2 separate regions of the Mus musculus genome follow, and region 2 is reported to be linked to region 1. The links are microRNA targets in miRTarBase. Many come from high-throughput screens and were not tested one by one. Region 1 holds a microRNA gene; the other region holds the end of a gene's coding sequence.
Evidence for each region. Region 1 holds the annotated microRNA mmu-miR-128-3p (UCACAGUGAACCGGUCUCUUU, at 4,583-4,603, shown strand). A microRNA usually pairs through its seed, bases 2 to 8, with sites in the 3' UTR of a target mRNA and lowers its output. Matches are read on the target gene's strand: a 7mer-m8 pairs with bases 2 to 8, a 7mer-A1 pairs with bases 2 to 7 and ends in A, and an 8mer does both.

Region 1 (8,687 bases):
ACTGTATTCTTATACATTTTTCTTTCTCATTTTCAGTTTGATAATTATTTGGTGAACAAGAAACAAATAGAATCTACTACTGGAAGTATAAAAATTATTAGAACTCAATCTTGATTTCTTTTTGTCCTATTTTTTAAAGAATCTGTTGAACTGAACTCCAGTCTCATATTTTAGATACTGTATTAAGGGCTTGGTAATAATTTAGCAATTAGTGATTGCTTTACAAGGTTGAGCACCTGAGTGTAGTCCCTATTCCCCACATAACAACAGACATAGTACGATACTTATCATTGTAGCGCTGGCAAGGGAGAGAGGTGGATTTCTGAGACTTGATTCCCAGCCAACCTGGCCTGATTGGTGTACTCAGAACTAATGAGAGACTATTTTAAGAAGATAAGGTGCACAGCTCTTGAGCAATGATACCCAAGGTGATCTCTGGTTTGTACACATATGTGCACTCATTGATGCAATCCCACAGACACACAGAAAGCTGTCTTACTGATCTTAATGAGCTCATTTCTGTTGCCATCCTGGTTGTGTACTGTTACAAATTTTAATGCGTTATTTAATTAAAACCTGTGTTACGTAAATTAAAGAATTGAGATTAAATTTTATAATTGATTTCTGTAGAGCAGTTTGCGTTCTTTGTCATTGGCGAAGGTACAGATTCTGTGCAGAGGCATTTCAGTCAAGCTGCACAGAGGAGTCTGCTGTTATCAGTGCTGTCTCCTAACTCTTTAGACCTACTTCTGGACTGGTCATTCCAGTGAAAATACTCACTTCTTGCTTCTTGTACAGTGTAGTCAACAACTCCCATTGCAGATAAGAGTCATAATTAGCACAGCTCCACATCCAAACTTTTGTGTCCTTAACCTGCTATACCTGAAAGTTTTCTGTTCTTAGTGGTTGGGCTCCTTTTTCTGTTCACTAGCCCTACATTACACATGCAACAGGTATTTTCCTACATGCTTTGGCATCTTCTGATCATTTTAGCTAAACTATAATTTTTTTTGTCTCAAATATGACTCCTTTTAATGTCAGATTTGCCTGAAGCCTAGTAATATGGCCCATGTCAAAGAATATAAACAGTTTATATTTTAAGTTAAGAAGATATCAAAGTTGTTGCTAGCTTGCTAGTTGTCTCAGCAGGTAAAGATGCTTACTGCGCAAGCCTGACAGCCTGAATTTGATTCCTGGACTTCTGTAAAGGTAGAGGGGAAAGGACCAGCCCCACAAAGTTGTCATGTGTTCTATGACACATCATGTAAACTCTCGCACTCGTATCTTATAATTATAACTTTTTATAAAAGGTTTTTATAAAAATGAGATTGCTCATGAACATTGATCATACTATTGCTCATTTAAGGTCACATAGACAATTGTATTATTCTAATAAAAATGATATTCTAGCTGGGACCAGTGACATATGCCTATGCTAGCGCTATGTGGGCTGAGGTTAGGAAGATCACAGCAGGGTTAAGGTACACTTGGGCTGTATAACAGCACCATATGTCAAAATTAAAACAAAAACCTTAAAAAATAATAGTAAAGAAAGCATTTTTTCTGTGCTTTCTTGGGCCTGAAAATAATTGACTTTTCGTAGTGTATATCTTTTTTGTTTTGCCTTCTAAAATTATAACATCTGATGTGATTTGTTTTTATTTATGGTTTTTCCCCCTGTGGTCCTGGGTATTAGACTCCAGTCTTTGTCTATGCTCAGCAGGCATTTGCTGCCTGGCAACATCCCTTCCTGTGATAGCTCACTAATTTTATAAAAAGTAAATTGAGTACTGGAGCAATGGCTTAGAGCTTAAGAGCACTTGCTCTTGTAGAGGACCCTGGTTCAATTCCTAACACCCACATGTGGCTCACAAACATCTGTAACTCCAGTTCCAGGGAATCCAAAGCACTCACCTGACTCCACAGACACCAAACCTACATGTAGGCTTCTACAACACTTATGCACATAAAATACCTTTAAAAAAATCAAAAAAACTTCAATAGAAAAAAGTAAGTTGGGGCTGGAGAGATGGCTCAGTGGTTAAGAACACTGGCTGCTCTGCCTTAGTTCAATTCCCAGCACCCACACGGTGGCTCACACCCATGTGTAGTGAGATCTGATGCCCTGTTCCACTGTCTGTCTGAAGACAGCTGCAGTGTACTCATATAACAAATGAATAATTTTTTTAAAGTAAGTTGACTCTCATGCCATTTATTTAAGTACTTTTTATATGACTCTCTGTGTTATCAAACCCTGTTAATAGGCAGCAAAGGTCCTCTGCTGTGTATTTATGAAAGCTTTTAGTTTTATCTTCTTTCTGAGGTAAAAATGTATTTCTTACCATAATCAGTTTATAAAATAAAAACTTAGTCACCTGTTGGGACTGTAGTACTTAATTCAGTTGCATCTCTCCACACAGTTATCCCCACTTAATTAAAAAAAAAATTTTTTTTTTAATGCCAAATAGACATATCTATGTGGTAGAAAGTATCACTATCTATCATTTGTGTTAGTTTAAGTGTGGATTTTCAGGTGTTAGTTAAGACAAAAGAGAAGAACACAGTAAGCCAACCTGCATCTGGACAGCACAAGTGCAGAAAAGGTCAACCTATCTTCAATAGTTTGTGACATTATCTGACTCCTAGGTGTCAGGTATAATAAATCACTGTGATGAGAGCTTGAGCTTTTATTTATTTTTTGTATTTGCCTAGTAGTAGCTAGCTTAAGTTGTTAGTTTTGCCTCATTCTGTTTGAAGAATAAGAAGAAAATCCTCAAATATTCTGTTATGCTTGTAAGTATAGAAAGAATATATAGAAATAGAAACATTACCTTTATGGAAATTTTCAATAAGCAGAAGCAGTTATGTGTAGGTAATTGTACTAGCCTTTTTATAGAACTGGTGGGAATTTGAACTCTTTTAAGCAAAACTGAATCTTAAGACTATAGTTTGCTAAGTTTTTTTATACTAAGACTTAAAAAAAATATATAACTAAATCGTAATATTAGAACAAAGAACTAGAAGATTAGGTAATTTCTGGGTTTTTGTTGTTGTTGTTATTGTTTCTCTGTTTACTGATTTCTGCCCCAATTTTCATATGTAAACATAGTTTATGTCTTAATATATTTTCTTATGTTTAACCATTACAACTAACTAAAATGTAAACTTTATTGATCACTGTTTTTTGGCTCTTATCCACCATGCCTTCATACCCAAAAGGAGCTCACAAAGCTTGTTATTCTCTTTGATTTCATGAAAAAAAATGGAGCTAATTATTCAGCCAAATAATGAAAAATTGCACCAAAGTATTTTAGCATGGCATTACTAAGACTTAAATGCTTATATATGAATTTAAAGAACATTTTCCCTAAATTAACAAACTCATCTGAGTCAATTCTGAGACCACGTTTTGTATAGACAATAAAAATAAATGATTTTCTGTTATTTTCCTCCTTGTAGAAGAAACTTTGAGAAATTCTTTTCAGATAAAATGCTTTAGTGTTGTAACCATATCTTTGCCAGTGTATTGATCTCCTTGACAATAAATTCCCTTATACTGTGGGAGCCCAGTGGAGCAGTATTAGCATAGGGGAGTCTTGTCTTAGTCTTGTGTGGTGAATGTAAACTCACTGACTGTGGTCATTCAAAATAAGATGAAGTCAGCACATGTAAAACACATTTATGGAAGTCCTGACTGTATGAAGCTTTCCAGACAATACAGTGTGTAATGTGAAAGAACGGCAGACTGTAAATCAGAATCCCAGTGACCTATGGTTTTTTTTTCTTCCTTTTTTTAACCTTTAATTTATTTTATTTCATTTTATTTATTATAGTTTGTGTGTATAGATGTTTTGCCTTCTTGTGTGTCTGTGCATTACATACATACATTGCCCAAGGAGGCTGGTAGAGGATGAGTCCTCTGAGACTGAAATCACACACAGTTGTGAGCCTGCAGTGGATGCTGGGAATTGAACCTAGGCCCTCCTGCAGGATCAGCCAGTGCTCTTAACTGAGCCATCTCTCCTGCCCCCACAGGCATTTTTTAAACTAATATTAGTTCTGTTAGTTAATGCCTGGGACTTTGAGTTTGATCACTCACAGAATTAGGTTGTGTTGTTATATTGTCTAGCCTTTGTGGACTCCAAAATGGAAAGATTCTGTGTCTTTTTTTTTTTTTTTAAGTCATTTCTGGTTTAGAAAGGTGAATATCAGAATTGACTTAAAATACCTTAGTGTCTTACTGTTAATAACTGCAGTCATGCAAGCAGCTATTTCAAAAAATCTGCTAGTTCTTAATTGCAATACTAGTAACTAATTATTTCAACTCTTAGCATACGTATAGGATAGTATATACAGTATAATACATACACTATAAAAACTTGAAAGAAATGGACCAAGAAATAGTGACGTTAGCAATGACAGGTTTATAGGCCCTGACTCTTTGATACGTAGCTGCTTTCATTCTTGGACTCTTTTGAAAAGTTTGCAGCTTCTCCTTATGTGCTTATATTTTACAATAATTGGCCTTCTTCCTGAGCTGTTGGATTCGGGGCCGTAGCACTGTCTGAGAGGTTTACATTTCTCACAGTGAACCGGTCTCTTTTTCAGCTGCTTCCTGACTTCTTTTTACTTCTTTTTGCTTTTTTGCTTTTTTTTTCTATGCTATATTAAGATACTAATATTTGTTTATATTTTCCATTGCCTATAATTACCTTTTAATTTTGCATCATACTCAGAAATAAGGATTTGAATTTAAGTAACAACCTTGGCTTCATACAATTTATCCTTAAAAATTCAAATTATCTGTTGCTTTCATTTCTTTTCCAAAGCATATTTGGATGCTTTTTTAAGATTCAATTTGGTTTGCATCTTATCTAACAGAGTTTAACATCTTAAGCATGCCAAACTCATTACTAGACATCAAATTTGTCTCTTTCCCTGTTTTTATACAACTTTTTAGGGGCATAATTATTCATTAAAATCTGGACCAAATGAACCAAAGATACCACATGCATTTTAAGCTGCTTGGGCCCTTACCAAGATACATAGTTCAGTTTTCCCCTAAACTGTTACTATTAAGTGCCTATGAGAACCATAATAATTCTGTGAAACTGAATATAATTTTATCCAGAATGAACAGGATCTGTGATATGCAGAATATAGGCAGCATTGCGGGCCACAGATTAGAAAGGACCTAGGGATTAAGGAAAGCTGGTAGTGTAACTCAGTTGGTAGGGTGCTTTGCATGAAGCCACAGGGTCCATCTCCTATACCACATATACTGTATGTTACATATAAAAGTAACTAGAACATGAAAGACAAAGAAGAATGGGTAAGCAGAGGTAAATTATATTGACAAGAGATTGAGTTACATTTTTATAAGAACAAAACTGATCATCTCTCTCCTGTCAATTTGTAACCATGTAATAGGAACTTTGTATTACTAGGTGGTAGCCCTGGTTTTACTTAGTTTTTTGTTGATTCTGTGAGCATTTTTCAGTGTTGCATGAACAGCATAGATTTCAGAAATTGTATAAAAAGTACAACTCCACCTATTTCCATTTCCCCTCTCCATTAATCTGCTGCCTCTGAAATATGGAGCAAATGTATTTGGTAAGTACTTACAGGTTTTCTTGAGTTGTTTAGGATAGTTATTTAAATAACTAAGAGATGTAACTTCTCTGTGGCTCATTTTATTCAGATTGGTTTTTCCTGGCATTTCTGTTGAGTTAAAGCTTGACAGAGAAGAAAGACTAGAGAGGTTGTGTTAGCAGCTCTGTCTCTTACCAAGTATAACTGAGAGCAGTCTTTGGTTGAACTTGCTTGTTCTCCAAATAGTACCTGGTTTATAAATTTCATAATCTTCTAAATTTCCATTTGAGCACCTAGTTCATATGTAATTTAGATTCAGCAAAAATGCCTTTTAAAGGCTTAACTCCCTTCACAGTGCTTCTTTCAACAAACCCAGTCTTTAAAGAAAGGATGTTAATACTGGTAAGGAAGTAAACCTAGAATCCTGGTGATGGCCATGTTGATGAACCATTTCTTCAGTTTGTCTATCTGATTATGGCTAATCTGTTTTGAAGGATGCTTTCCATTAACACAAATGCTAGTTCAGGTCACCTATGATAAAGTAAGTCTAGCTAGCACTTTTCTACTGAGCACTGATTTTCCTTCCTGCTCTCTTCTGTTGAGAGTTAAAAATAGAAAGTTCCTTATAACCTTCCAGGATTATTGTAGTGCCAACAATTCAAACTGATCTTGCTCTCTCAGGTTGCAGAATTGTTGCTGCTCTCAGAAAGTCCTGGAAGAAGTTGGATAATGTTGCAGCAGCATAGTTCTTTAACAAAGAATGGGAGTGTTAAACACTCGTATTGATAATAGGATGTCAGTGAATTCTGCTTGAAATCTCTTATTACTGTTCCTTACTTTTTGAATAATACTTTCCCCCAGATTGACAAATTCCAATAAAAGATAACTCACTTATCTCTTTCTGGTTATTTCTAAATAAGTCACAGAGAAAAATTTTAAAAGTTTAAATTCTCTCATACACGGAAACTACTTTTGATAAGGAATGATTTATGCTGTCCTGGGGGAGGGGTGGCTTATTGTGTCAGGATACTGGAAATGCTCTTGTGGCGCTTTTTTAACCCAATGGTACTTTTCTTTCTCTAGGAATTCACTTCTCCTTCCTTATCCTCAGTCTCATACTTGGCAATCTTCACACTATATTTTTGAAACTATGTACCATTTCCACTTGTCTGAAGGATTAGATAAGAAACTTGAATCACAGAGCCACTTGTCATAGGTGATACTACTAACAACCCAGGCTGAATGCTGTAAAATTGCTTTGTTTAAACAGAAGTTCAGAAAAAATTTTCAAGCAGTTTAAATACTTTTTAAATAGTATTATTTTTATTCAATGGATGTACATAAAGTGAGACATGCCTTATACCATGTGATACTAAGTGATTAATGATAGGGTTTTCATTAATGACAGGAAGAGTCTTATCTGTGTTTGAAATACAGTATTATGCCCTGTCATGTTTTTAGAGCTTTCCATGTTTCTAACTTTCTTTTTTATTGTAGTGTGATAATCTTTGGACAGCAGGCCCTACAGTTACCTTGCACTATGGAAAGTCCAATAATATTTTAATATCTTGCTCTTTAGAAAGTACAATCCAGAATTGCTTATTAGCCATTTCCTGGGTTTTAAAATTATTAGAATAAAGAATGAATCGTTCCATTATGATTTCAAAAATAAAAACTCAAATATTTGTTCTAATACCATTAAAATTTCCCTCTTGATGGTTTTGGTTGTGATAGTCTTAGAAAGGTTCCATTGCAAAGATTCCTGATGTCTCCTACCAGTATGGTTCAACCCTGGTGTGTTTTCCCCCTTGATGCTAAAATGAATGGAAAGCAACTCTGTGGGTGGTGGGGGAAAGTTATTGCTTCAGACAACCCCAAGACATGAAGCAAAACAGCTTCCCTGCTTATGAGGTATCCTAATGAAAACAGACTTAGCCCCACTGAGTAAGTCTGAGATTGTGGAGAAGACAGCCAGCATCTGTTAAAATCTTCTACAGACTCAACCAGAATATGGCAACAGAGTCTTTCTTTTAAGCAAAAAGCAACCTCAAATAAAACTACCAAGCTGAATCCTCAAGAAGACTACTGTAGATTGAAAGGGGAGCACTCAGGATGCAAGGCCCAGAGCAGCTGAGATTCCTTATGCTTTGGGCTTCTACTCCCTTTCCTAATAGTTTTCTACTGAGAAAGCTAATCTCATAAGTCAAGCAGGCATATAACTTTGAAATACACAAACCATGCCAAGAGAGTGGGGAAAACAGTGAGTACACGTGGACTGCTTGTATAACCTTACTCTGGGTGGCTTTTAACTCCGCAGTCCATATAGCTGCTTTCGGTACTAACTCCTGTTGATTTCTATTTTTGATAATTATGTCTGTTCTCACAAACATTCTTTAATTCAAATGGACAGTTAGTTGGCTGACTGTTTCACCTCATTTATAATAATTCTGTTTTCTTGCCACACATGGTAGCACATGCCTTTAATGCCAACACTTAGGGAGGAGACAAAGGCAGGCAAAGGCAGATTTGTCTACATAATGAGGCCAGCTAGGGCTACATAGTTTCTTCTTTTAAAAAAATATAAAAAATAAAAAAAATAAATAAAAAACACAAACTCTACATTTTCCCCAATTAAAATTACCTAGAACATTAGGTGTGTTACACTAGAGTAGATATCTTCTCTAACCAAAACTCTCAGAAAATCAAAGATCACAGATCCTTCTTATTTGAGTATTTCTGTAGTACTCATTCCACGTCAACAGTTGTCTCTGGGGAAGGTAAAACTTACATGCAGATCCCAGCTATACACTGACCGGCTTCTGACCTTGGACTAAGGTATGAACCTTTCTGTGCCTTTGTTTCCTCACCTGAAAAATGAGGATAATTGTGTTTCCGAAATAATTGTCTCTATAAATGTGGAATAAGTTATTTGTGTGCACAGAGCAGTGCTGACATCTAATAAATTGATGACCGTTAGCTGCTAATACCCGGAATGCCTTTGAGGCAGTGATACTTACCTGATATTCTAAGTGAGAGAGCATAGGAGTTTTGAATTTTTATGCTAGAGACCAGAATACAGTTTGTCCTAAAATATT
Region 2 (8,647 bases), not on the chromosome of region 1:
AGCTTCTCAAAATTCTAGGTTTACACGTGTGCACCACCACAATGATGCATGCATGCTGTGTTCATTAAAATCTGTAAAAACACGAGGTTTGTGGTGCATGCTTGTGATCTCAACTGTGGGAGGCTGAAGTGGGCAGACCCTCAGGTCAAGGCAATCATTTTACAATCCTATCAAACAAAACCACACACACACACACACACACACCCACACACAATTTGGAGCCCATGGCTTCTGAGTGGGTTCTATTCCCAGAAAGATAACCTAACTCTCCATTTCTCTCCCAAGATGCATCTGCCTGATGAGGCCACAGCCTCTGGAGGACCCTCGCCATGGCTGTGGACTCTTCAGGCGACAAGGCCTGTGCCTTCCCTGCTTTGCCAGGATACTGGGCTCCTGGGCATCTACAGCCTCCTTTCACAGTCTGCTGCAGAGGACATCCCTCCGTTCTGGGCTGTTAGCACCACTCAGGTACCAAGGACTGCTCTGAGCACAGTAGAGAGACTTGTGGATCTGCCTGCATAGACACGCCTTTCTTCATACCCTCAGGACCGAGACCACACAGAGGCCGAAGACCCTAATTTATCTGGCCTGTCAATCTGGTCTTGAAGCGTCTCTAAGTGAAGAGCCAGAAGAAACACTATGTGGCCATCCTGTCTCCTGCCCCTATCTCTGCCTTTGTCACTGTGGGTGGGGGTGGGGGTGGGGAGGTGCATAGTTTTTAATAAAATGTCAATTGCAGCAGGTTTCCTTATTGCATGAGATGTCTCTAACACTAGGCCTTTCTATGCCAGCTTGAGTGTGGACTCCTTGCTAAATGCCCATCCTCCTAGACTGGCTTCAAACTAAATTATGTAGCTGAGGTTGACCTAGAACTCCTGATCCTCTTGCCTCTACCTCCCAAGCACTAAGATTAGAAGTGTGTGCTAGGACACCCAGTTTTGTGTGGTGCTGGGGATGAATTTCCTCCATACATATTAGGCAACCACCCTACTAAGCTGACATCCCATCCCCCAGTCACACACACACACACACACACACACACACACACACACACACATACACACACACAAGCTTCCCATCTTACATAGTTTTGGGTTGGCCTTGAACTTGCTTTTTTGTTTGTTTGTTTGTTTGTTTGTTTGTTTTTCGAGACAGGGTTTCTCTCTGTAGCCCTGGCTGTCCTGGAACTCACTTTGTAGACCAGGCTGGCCTCGAACTCAGAAATCCACCTGCCTCTGCCTCCCAAGTGTTGGGATTAAAGGCATGTGCCACCATGCCCGGCCCTTGAACTTGCTTTGTAGGCAAAAGTGACCTCTGAACTCCTGATCCTTCAACCTCCATGTCCCTCCCTGGGATCCTAGCTGTGTCACCATATCCAGCTCTGATTTTTATATCCTGGGCCTTAAATTCCCTTCCAGTTAGGACGTGGGATCTGGGGTGATTTTCAGGCGCACACTGGGAGGCCAGCCTGGTCTACAGAGTGAGTCCTAGGACAGCCATGGCTACACAAAGAAACCCTAGAAGGGGCAGGGGTTGGGGTGGGGAGAGAGAGAGAGAGAGAGAGAGAGAGAGAGAGAGAGAGAGAGAGAGAGAGAGAGAGAGAGAGAGAGAGAAGTGTTAGATTCTCAAAGCAATGGGAGGCATTCATTGCACGTGGCAGGGAAGCTGAGGTGAAACAGTAGTGGCAAAGTAGAGTCAGTAGATTGTAGTGGCCATCTGTGCTGTGGCCAGCAGCCCCCGGGTTGAGAAGAGGGGGCCATAATTGGGCCGCCTCTCCTCCACTGTAGCCAGCACAGTCCCTGGGCCTGACTAGGTCCTGGTCGATGGCAAGCTCTGCTACAAGTGTGAGTTCTGTGGGGCTCCGAGAGGTTCTGGAAACCGGCTGGCTTCGAGGCCCTAGGGAAGCCACCAAGCTTGGACATACTACTAGTGTGGCCTGCAAGACCCAAGAAGGAAGCCAGAAGGACAAGAGAGTGATGTGTTGCTGGTACCTGACTCCAAGGTTGGCCGTCTCCTGAGCCTGGACAGGACAGCAGAGTTCACTAGCTTCCCTCATCAGTGTTGACCAAAGGTGGGAAGCAGACCCAAAATCTGCTTGTTCCAGGGGTCCAAAGTGTCTGCTAACACAAGGGACAAACTTCTACACATTTAGGGTCTTCAGGCCCCTGTGCAACACCACCACCTCCCTCTTTTGGATGTGGCTAACTCGTGTCCTATTAACCTAAGGAGGAATTGTGGGACTACAGACATGCAGTGCATGTATGAAGTATGTGTTAACAGGGCCATACACAGGAAGTGCATGTATGAAGTATGTGTTAGCCAGGAGAGACAGATCATGTTTACTGATCCTGCAGGAGACTTGGCTCCATTGCCAGTACACACATGGTGGCTCACAACCAACTGTAACTCATTTCTTCCAGGGACTCCAATGCCCTCCTCTGGTCTCAGCAGACACTGCATGAATTTACAGGCTGCAGGAAAAACACTCGCACATGTAAAATGATTAAGTCTCAATGAGAGAGAAGTGTGATATTATCACCTTACAGTCACACAGACCAGCTAGCCACCAGTGGCAAATAGCAATGGTGCAACCCTCGCTGTGGGCATCTCTCCCTGTCCAGGCTGTGAGGGCTGCTGACTCCGTGTGGCCTCCCTGTACCACAGTGAGACCTGTCTGTTGAAACCTTGCCTGCAGAGGAACAGGAGAGAACAGGGCTGCAGCCACCTCTCTGCACAAGAGCCTAGGCTCTTGCTCTCTCTCTCTCTCTCTAGTAAGACATGGAGTCTCTATAGCCCAGGCTGGCCTTGAAGTCCATACATACCCAAGGATGCCCTTAAACCCCTGATCTTCCTGCCTCCCTGTTCCAGATGCTGGGATTATAAGTATAAACCACAGACCCCTCTGTGTTTATCAACCAGCCTTACAATAAGTAAATGTCATTTGTGTTATTAGTTGTGGATATTTGCCGATTCCCTGTTCTATAGAATAGACTTTCAAGAATGAACTGAATTGAAGAGATTTTTCCCTTTTTTTTAAAGATTTATTTATTTATTTTATGTATATGAGTATGCTGTAGCTGTCTTCAGACACACCAGAAGAGGGCATCAGATCTATATTGCAGATGGTTGTGAGCTACTTTGTGGTTGCTGGGAATTGAACTCAAGACCTCTGGAAGAGCAGTCAGTGCTCTTAACTGCTACACCATCTCTCCAGCCTGAAAAGATTTTTTTTTTTTTGCTATTAAAAAATAAATTTAATTCACTTAATAGAGTGCTCATCCAGCATGCAAAACATGCCCTCAGTGAAGAAGCCTGTGGTGGTCCGTTCATAATAACAAGGCAGAAGTGGAGACAGGAGGATCGGAATTCAACCAAGGGCAGGCCAGGATAGACCAACCTTTACTAAAAACAAAAAGGTAAGTGTTGTGTAACTCCTGCATTCTGGAGGCTGAGGCAGGAAGATGCTAAGTCTGAAGCTAGCATAGCTACACGTAGGGAGACCTTGTCTCAAAAAAAATAAAATAAATAAAAAAGTAAAAATGTAAAAATCATTTTAAGGTATCTTTTGTTGTTTTGGTTTTGGTCTTTTTGAAACAGGGTTTCTCTGTAGCCTTGGCTGTTTTGAAACTAGCTCTGTAGACCAGGCTAGCCTTAAATTCTGTGATCCACTTGCCTCTGCCTCCCAAGTGCTGGGATTAAACAAAACAAACAAGCAAAAAACCCAAAAATTTAAGCCACCACGATCCCAAAAAAGTGAGTTCCAGAACTAACACAGAGAGACTATATATATATATATATACATATATACATATACACATATGTATATATATGTGTATATATATATATTAATAATAGTTGAACATTTTTTTAAAAGTTTGTAAGAAACCGGTATGAAAGATGCTTCTAACCTTACAATGGCCTGGGTGACCAGCTCCAAGAGGCTTCCCCTCAGAAAATACTCACTACCTCCTGGGAAGGTGAGGACAGTCAGTAGGTTCCTAAGATTTTACTGTCTTCTTATGTATCTAGAAAAACTGCAAAAATAAAAAATATCCTCATGCGCGCGCACACACACACACACACACACACACACACACACAACCGATTGGCTACCACCTGAGGATGATCGCTGTCCGGATCAGTCAGGGTTCTCTAAACTGCGGCAGATCCTGCCTTCTGGGCGCTTCGCTTCGGAGGTGGCAGCTGGCCCAGGGCTGCCAGCTGCTCACTGATGCCAGCTGCCCCAGTGACCCAGAAAATTGGAAATCTGGGCCTTCTAGCTAAGCATCTCCCAATCTGGAAACGTTGCCAACGAAACCTAGAAACGAAGCTGAAACCAAACAAGCCCTGTCTGGGGGCACACCCGGCCGGCTCGCCCACTGGCAAGTGACCCCGCGCGTGTCCTGGCGGTAAAGCGGGGAAGTCCTGCTGAGGCCCGCAGGGCTGCCAGCTGTTTCCTCTGCGGCCTCGCCAGGCGGAAGCCTCCCTCCCCTGCCGCAGTTGTGCATGCCTGCAGCAGCCTCTCCTCCCAACCGCGCTCTACTTCCTAGTTGCAGAAACTCCACCCTTAGGTGGAGGCCACCGACTTGCGCCCACTCGTGCAGCGCGCGCCCCCTGGCGACCAGAGGAACGCACTGCCACTCCTGCCCGGCCAGAGCAGAGGCTGAGGTTCTGACGTAGAGCAGAGATGTGCACACTTCTGTGGACGCACAGATTAGTCATAGTCTTCCATTCAGGGCACACAATAACCACTGGCCCACGCCTGGCCGTCCCCTTCCTACCTTCAGATTAGCTTTCCCCTTAATTTCTCGAGAGAGATAGCTCTCTCTCAAGCACGCGCACACACACAGGATTTATTAGAGTGGCTTGCAGGGGACACAGGCTTGCCCAGATACTTTGGTTCTCGTAGATTGCAGATGTGGCCGAGTTGACAACCAAGATTAGCCATCACATGATGCTTATCGTCTCTTGCGCCCATCTTTCTCTTTCCACCATCACTTCCGGAACCACCGATCACCACACAGTTGCTTTTCTTATGTTAGTTCTACTCTAGAGCACATGAGTTCATATGTCAGCAGGGGACATCCCCGTGTAGCCTTGGTGGCTTTATTTGCCTGTCACCCTACTGGCCTCAAGCCACACCTTCTCTCCCACATCCTTAATTTATTTTAAAGATAGGGTCTCAGTGGAGATAAAGGCACAGTCCTTTAATCCCAACACTCGGGAGTCGGGAGACAGAGGAAGGTGGATCTCTGTGAGTGCAAGGCCAGCTTGGTCTACAAAGTGAGTTCCAGGACAGCCAGGAATATAGGGTCAAACTCTGTCTCAAAAAAGAAAAAAAATAGGGTCTTACTCTGTACCTATGTACCCCAGGCTGCCCTGGAACTCATAATGATCCTCCTGTCTCAGCCTCTCAGTCTGGGATTATAAGTGTACACCACTGTGTTGGGCATCTCCTTATTTTTAAAACATTTATTATTTTTATTTTATGTGTTTGAGTGTTTTGCTTGCATGCATGTGTGCAAACATGCACACATGGTACCTACAGAGGCCAGGTTAGGGTGTCAACTCCCCTAGAGCTGAAGTGACAGATAGTTGTGAGCCACCACGTAGGTTATATAACATGTCTGTTATTCCAACACTGGGAGGTGGAAGCAGAAAGATCAGAAGTTCCCTGCTGAGAGAGGCGGGAGGAAGAACAACAAAAAATACAAATACAAAATGTTGAGGACTGTATAAACATTTTATTTTATACACGAGTGCTCTATCTGCATGTACACCTGCATGCCAGAAGAGGGCATCAGATCCCATTATAGATGATTGTGAGCCACCTTGTGTGGTTGCTGGGAATTGAACTCAGGACCTCTGGAAGAGTAGACAATGCTCCTAACCATTGAGCCATCTCTCCAGCCCCCCACAAAAATTTGTTTAAAGGGCTGGTGAATATGTTCAGCAAAAAAAAGGCATTTGCTGAGTTGGATCCTGGGTCTCCCTCATGGTGGACAAAGAGCCCTGCCTCCCACAAGTCTGACTTCTAACAGGCACTGTAACATGCACATACACAGACATATAGGAACATTAAAAATAAGTTGGGGTGCCGGGCGGTGGTGGCGCACGCCTTTAATCCCAGCACTTGGGAGGCAGAGGCAGGCAGATTTCTGAGTTCGAAGCCAGCCTGGTCTACAAAGTGAATTCCAGGACAGCCAGGGCTATACAGGGAAACCCTGTCTCGAAAATAAATAAATAAATAAGTAAATAAGTAAATAAATAAATAAATAAATAAATAAGTTGGGGTAATGAGAATCCTTGCTGCCTTTTACAGCTGCCTTTATTTTAAAAAGTTTCTGTGATGCATATTACTTATAGAACTATAATTTAGCCTAAAAAAAAAAAAAAGACATCTCAGAGCGGTCAAGACTACAATTGTGTGTTCACACACGTTCATGTGTGCAGTACACATGTGTGAACATGCATAAGCACATGGGTGTGTAGACCAGAAGAAACCAGAGTTTCCTGGGAGCCAGATCTCATCAGCCTGGAGCTCACCAGGCAGGCCACACTGGCTGGTCAAAAACCCCAGGCAGCCACCTATCTCTGCCTCCCCATTGCAACATATGCAACCACACCTGGCTCTAGGTAGGTTCTGGGGTTCAAACTCAAGTCTTTGCAACTTTGCAAGCATTGTCTGGACCATTTCCCAGACCATAATAAGTGCTTTATAAACTGGGGGCTGGTTGGGCTTTTTGGTTTGGGCAGTTCAAGGCAGTTTCTCTGTATAGCCCTGGCTTTGCTGTCTAAGCCAGGCTGGCCTTGAACTCACAGAGATCCACCTGCCTCTGCCTCCCAAATACTGGGATCAATGGTGTCTGCCACCATTGCCTGGTGTAATCAGTGCATCCAACATTGTCTTCAGTCTCACATGATGATCCCGTTCCTCTGTTAGCAAAACCAACTTTGATAGGTAGAGGGCAGCTTTAAATCCAGGTATTTTCATACTGGTGTGTGCGTGTGTGGCGTGGGGACGGGGGTCTAGATTATGTTACTCTAGTCACAGTGCATTAATCACAGTCAGCAAGCGCAACCTTGAACTCACCTGCAAAATGAGTCAAACCCACTAAGGGCTCATGGGGAACTCTGGAGAATCAACAACCCTTCCTCACCTCTGGACAGTCCTGTGACTGTAAAGTCTCAACTCTGTGGACAGAAGTCTCAGCAGAAAATGGGTGGGCATTAGCGATCCCCCTGCCCCAGCCTCACAGGCCGCCCGCCACCAGGAATGCTTTACTGTCGGCATTCCCTGCTTTAGGTCTTCTGCTCTTTGCAGCTGGCTGCATATTGATACAATGTTTTTTATCAACAAAAAACAAACAAACAAAAAACCTGAAGAATGTACAAATCCCAGTGAATTTCTGAGGACTAACTATAAAGATCCTGTTATTCTCTAGGGACTGGAGGCAGGAATTTTACAAACTCCACAAATAGTTCTGCTTTAGCACAACGACGCCCTGGCTCTGCTTCGCACTGTCCAGTGATTGAGCTGTCCCAAACAGATGCCTCTATCTGTCCACAGCACAGGAGCCACATCTAGGGTGTTAAGCAGAGTCCAAAACTTCATTCTTACAATGATTTAGGTGGAGGTGACATGCAGCTGTGACCCCAGAATCTGGGAAGCAAGTACAGATGGACCTGGAGGTCAGTGTCATCCTCATCGACAGAGTGAGTTTGGAGCCAGCCTGGGCTACATGAGACCCTGTGTCAGAACAGAAGGGAAAGGAGAGAGAGGCGAAAGGAAGAGGAAAGAAAAGGGGGGGAGGGATTTAAAACCACCCGATGTCTAGTATTCTTCTATAATTCATGCCATGGGATTCCCTAAAAAGTATATTTTTGTTTTCATTTATTTATTTGGCTGACCTGGAACTCACTCTGTAGCCCAGGCTGGCCTTAAACTTACACAGATCTGCCTCCACCACAGCTAGCTCTTACAGTATTTTCCCTGCTATGTAAACCAGGTTGGCTTTAAGCTGGTGACCTTCCTGCTTCAGCCCTAAGTGATGGCATTGGAGACTCCTGTGCTGCCACAGCCGACAAACATGATGTTTAAGTCCGAATCCCACTCTCCAGAAGACAGCCCGTGTATTGGACACGTACAGACATGGGGACAGCTAACCCCTCAAGTGAGGGCCTCATCTAAATAAGTCTGTAATTAATGAACAACTGTGAAGGCACAAACACTGGAATTAAGAGGATTTATTTTAAAAGATTATAAAAGTTGATATTAAGAGTGATTAAAAAAAAGACCCACAGGCTTTAAATCAACAAATACAAAAGTGATCAGATATAAGCAACGTAGAAATACACTTCTCAGTCCCCACATAGAGCATAATTTAAGTATAGTAATTATAAAAGTCTTGTGCAATAAGTATATTTCCCTTCTTAGTCTTAAAAACCATTCTAAACAATTTGTATAAATTACAGCAACTCAAGTCTGCCACAGCTACTAAAAAAGACATTGTCCTTTCTGTGCTGACAGTCTCTGGTCCCAGCTCTTCTGGAGGGTGTGTGTTGCCACAGTCTTTAACCCCATCTCCCTCCATAGAATGCAAAAGCCAACCAGTCACAGGTTCCCTCAAAAGAGAAAATTCTAAGA

Region 2: miRTarBase lists Cmtm7 as a target of mmu-miR-128-3p. Seed matches in the 3' UTR shown: 7mer-m8 at 680-686.

What each region holds. Positions count from the first base shown.
Region 1 is chr1:128,197,822-128,206,508 of GRCm38, forward strand. It overlaps Mir128-1 (microRNA 128-1), which reads left to right and starts at 4,540; the gene lies at 4,540-4,609. All of the region lies in intron 19 of R3hdm1 (R3H domain containing 1), which reads left to right.
Region 2 is chr9:114,748,930-114,757,576 of GRCm38, reverse strand. Cmtm7 (CKLF-like MARVEL transmembrane domain containing 7) reads left to right here. Exons shown (of 5, transcript NM_133978.2): 5 at 286-741. The coding sequence ends at 299. It overlaps Cmtm6 (CKLF-like MARVEL transmembrane domain containing 6), which reads right to left. Exons shown (of 4, transcript NM_026036.3): 4 at 8,234-8,647. Among named protein-coding and RNA genes, the nearest start is that of Gm9888, 14 kb to the left of the region's middle.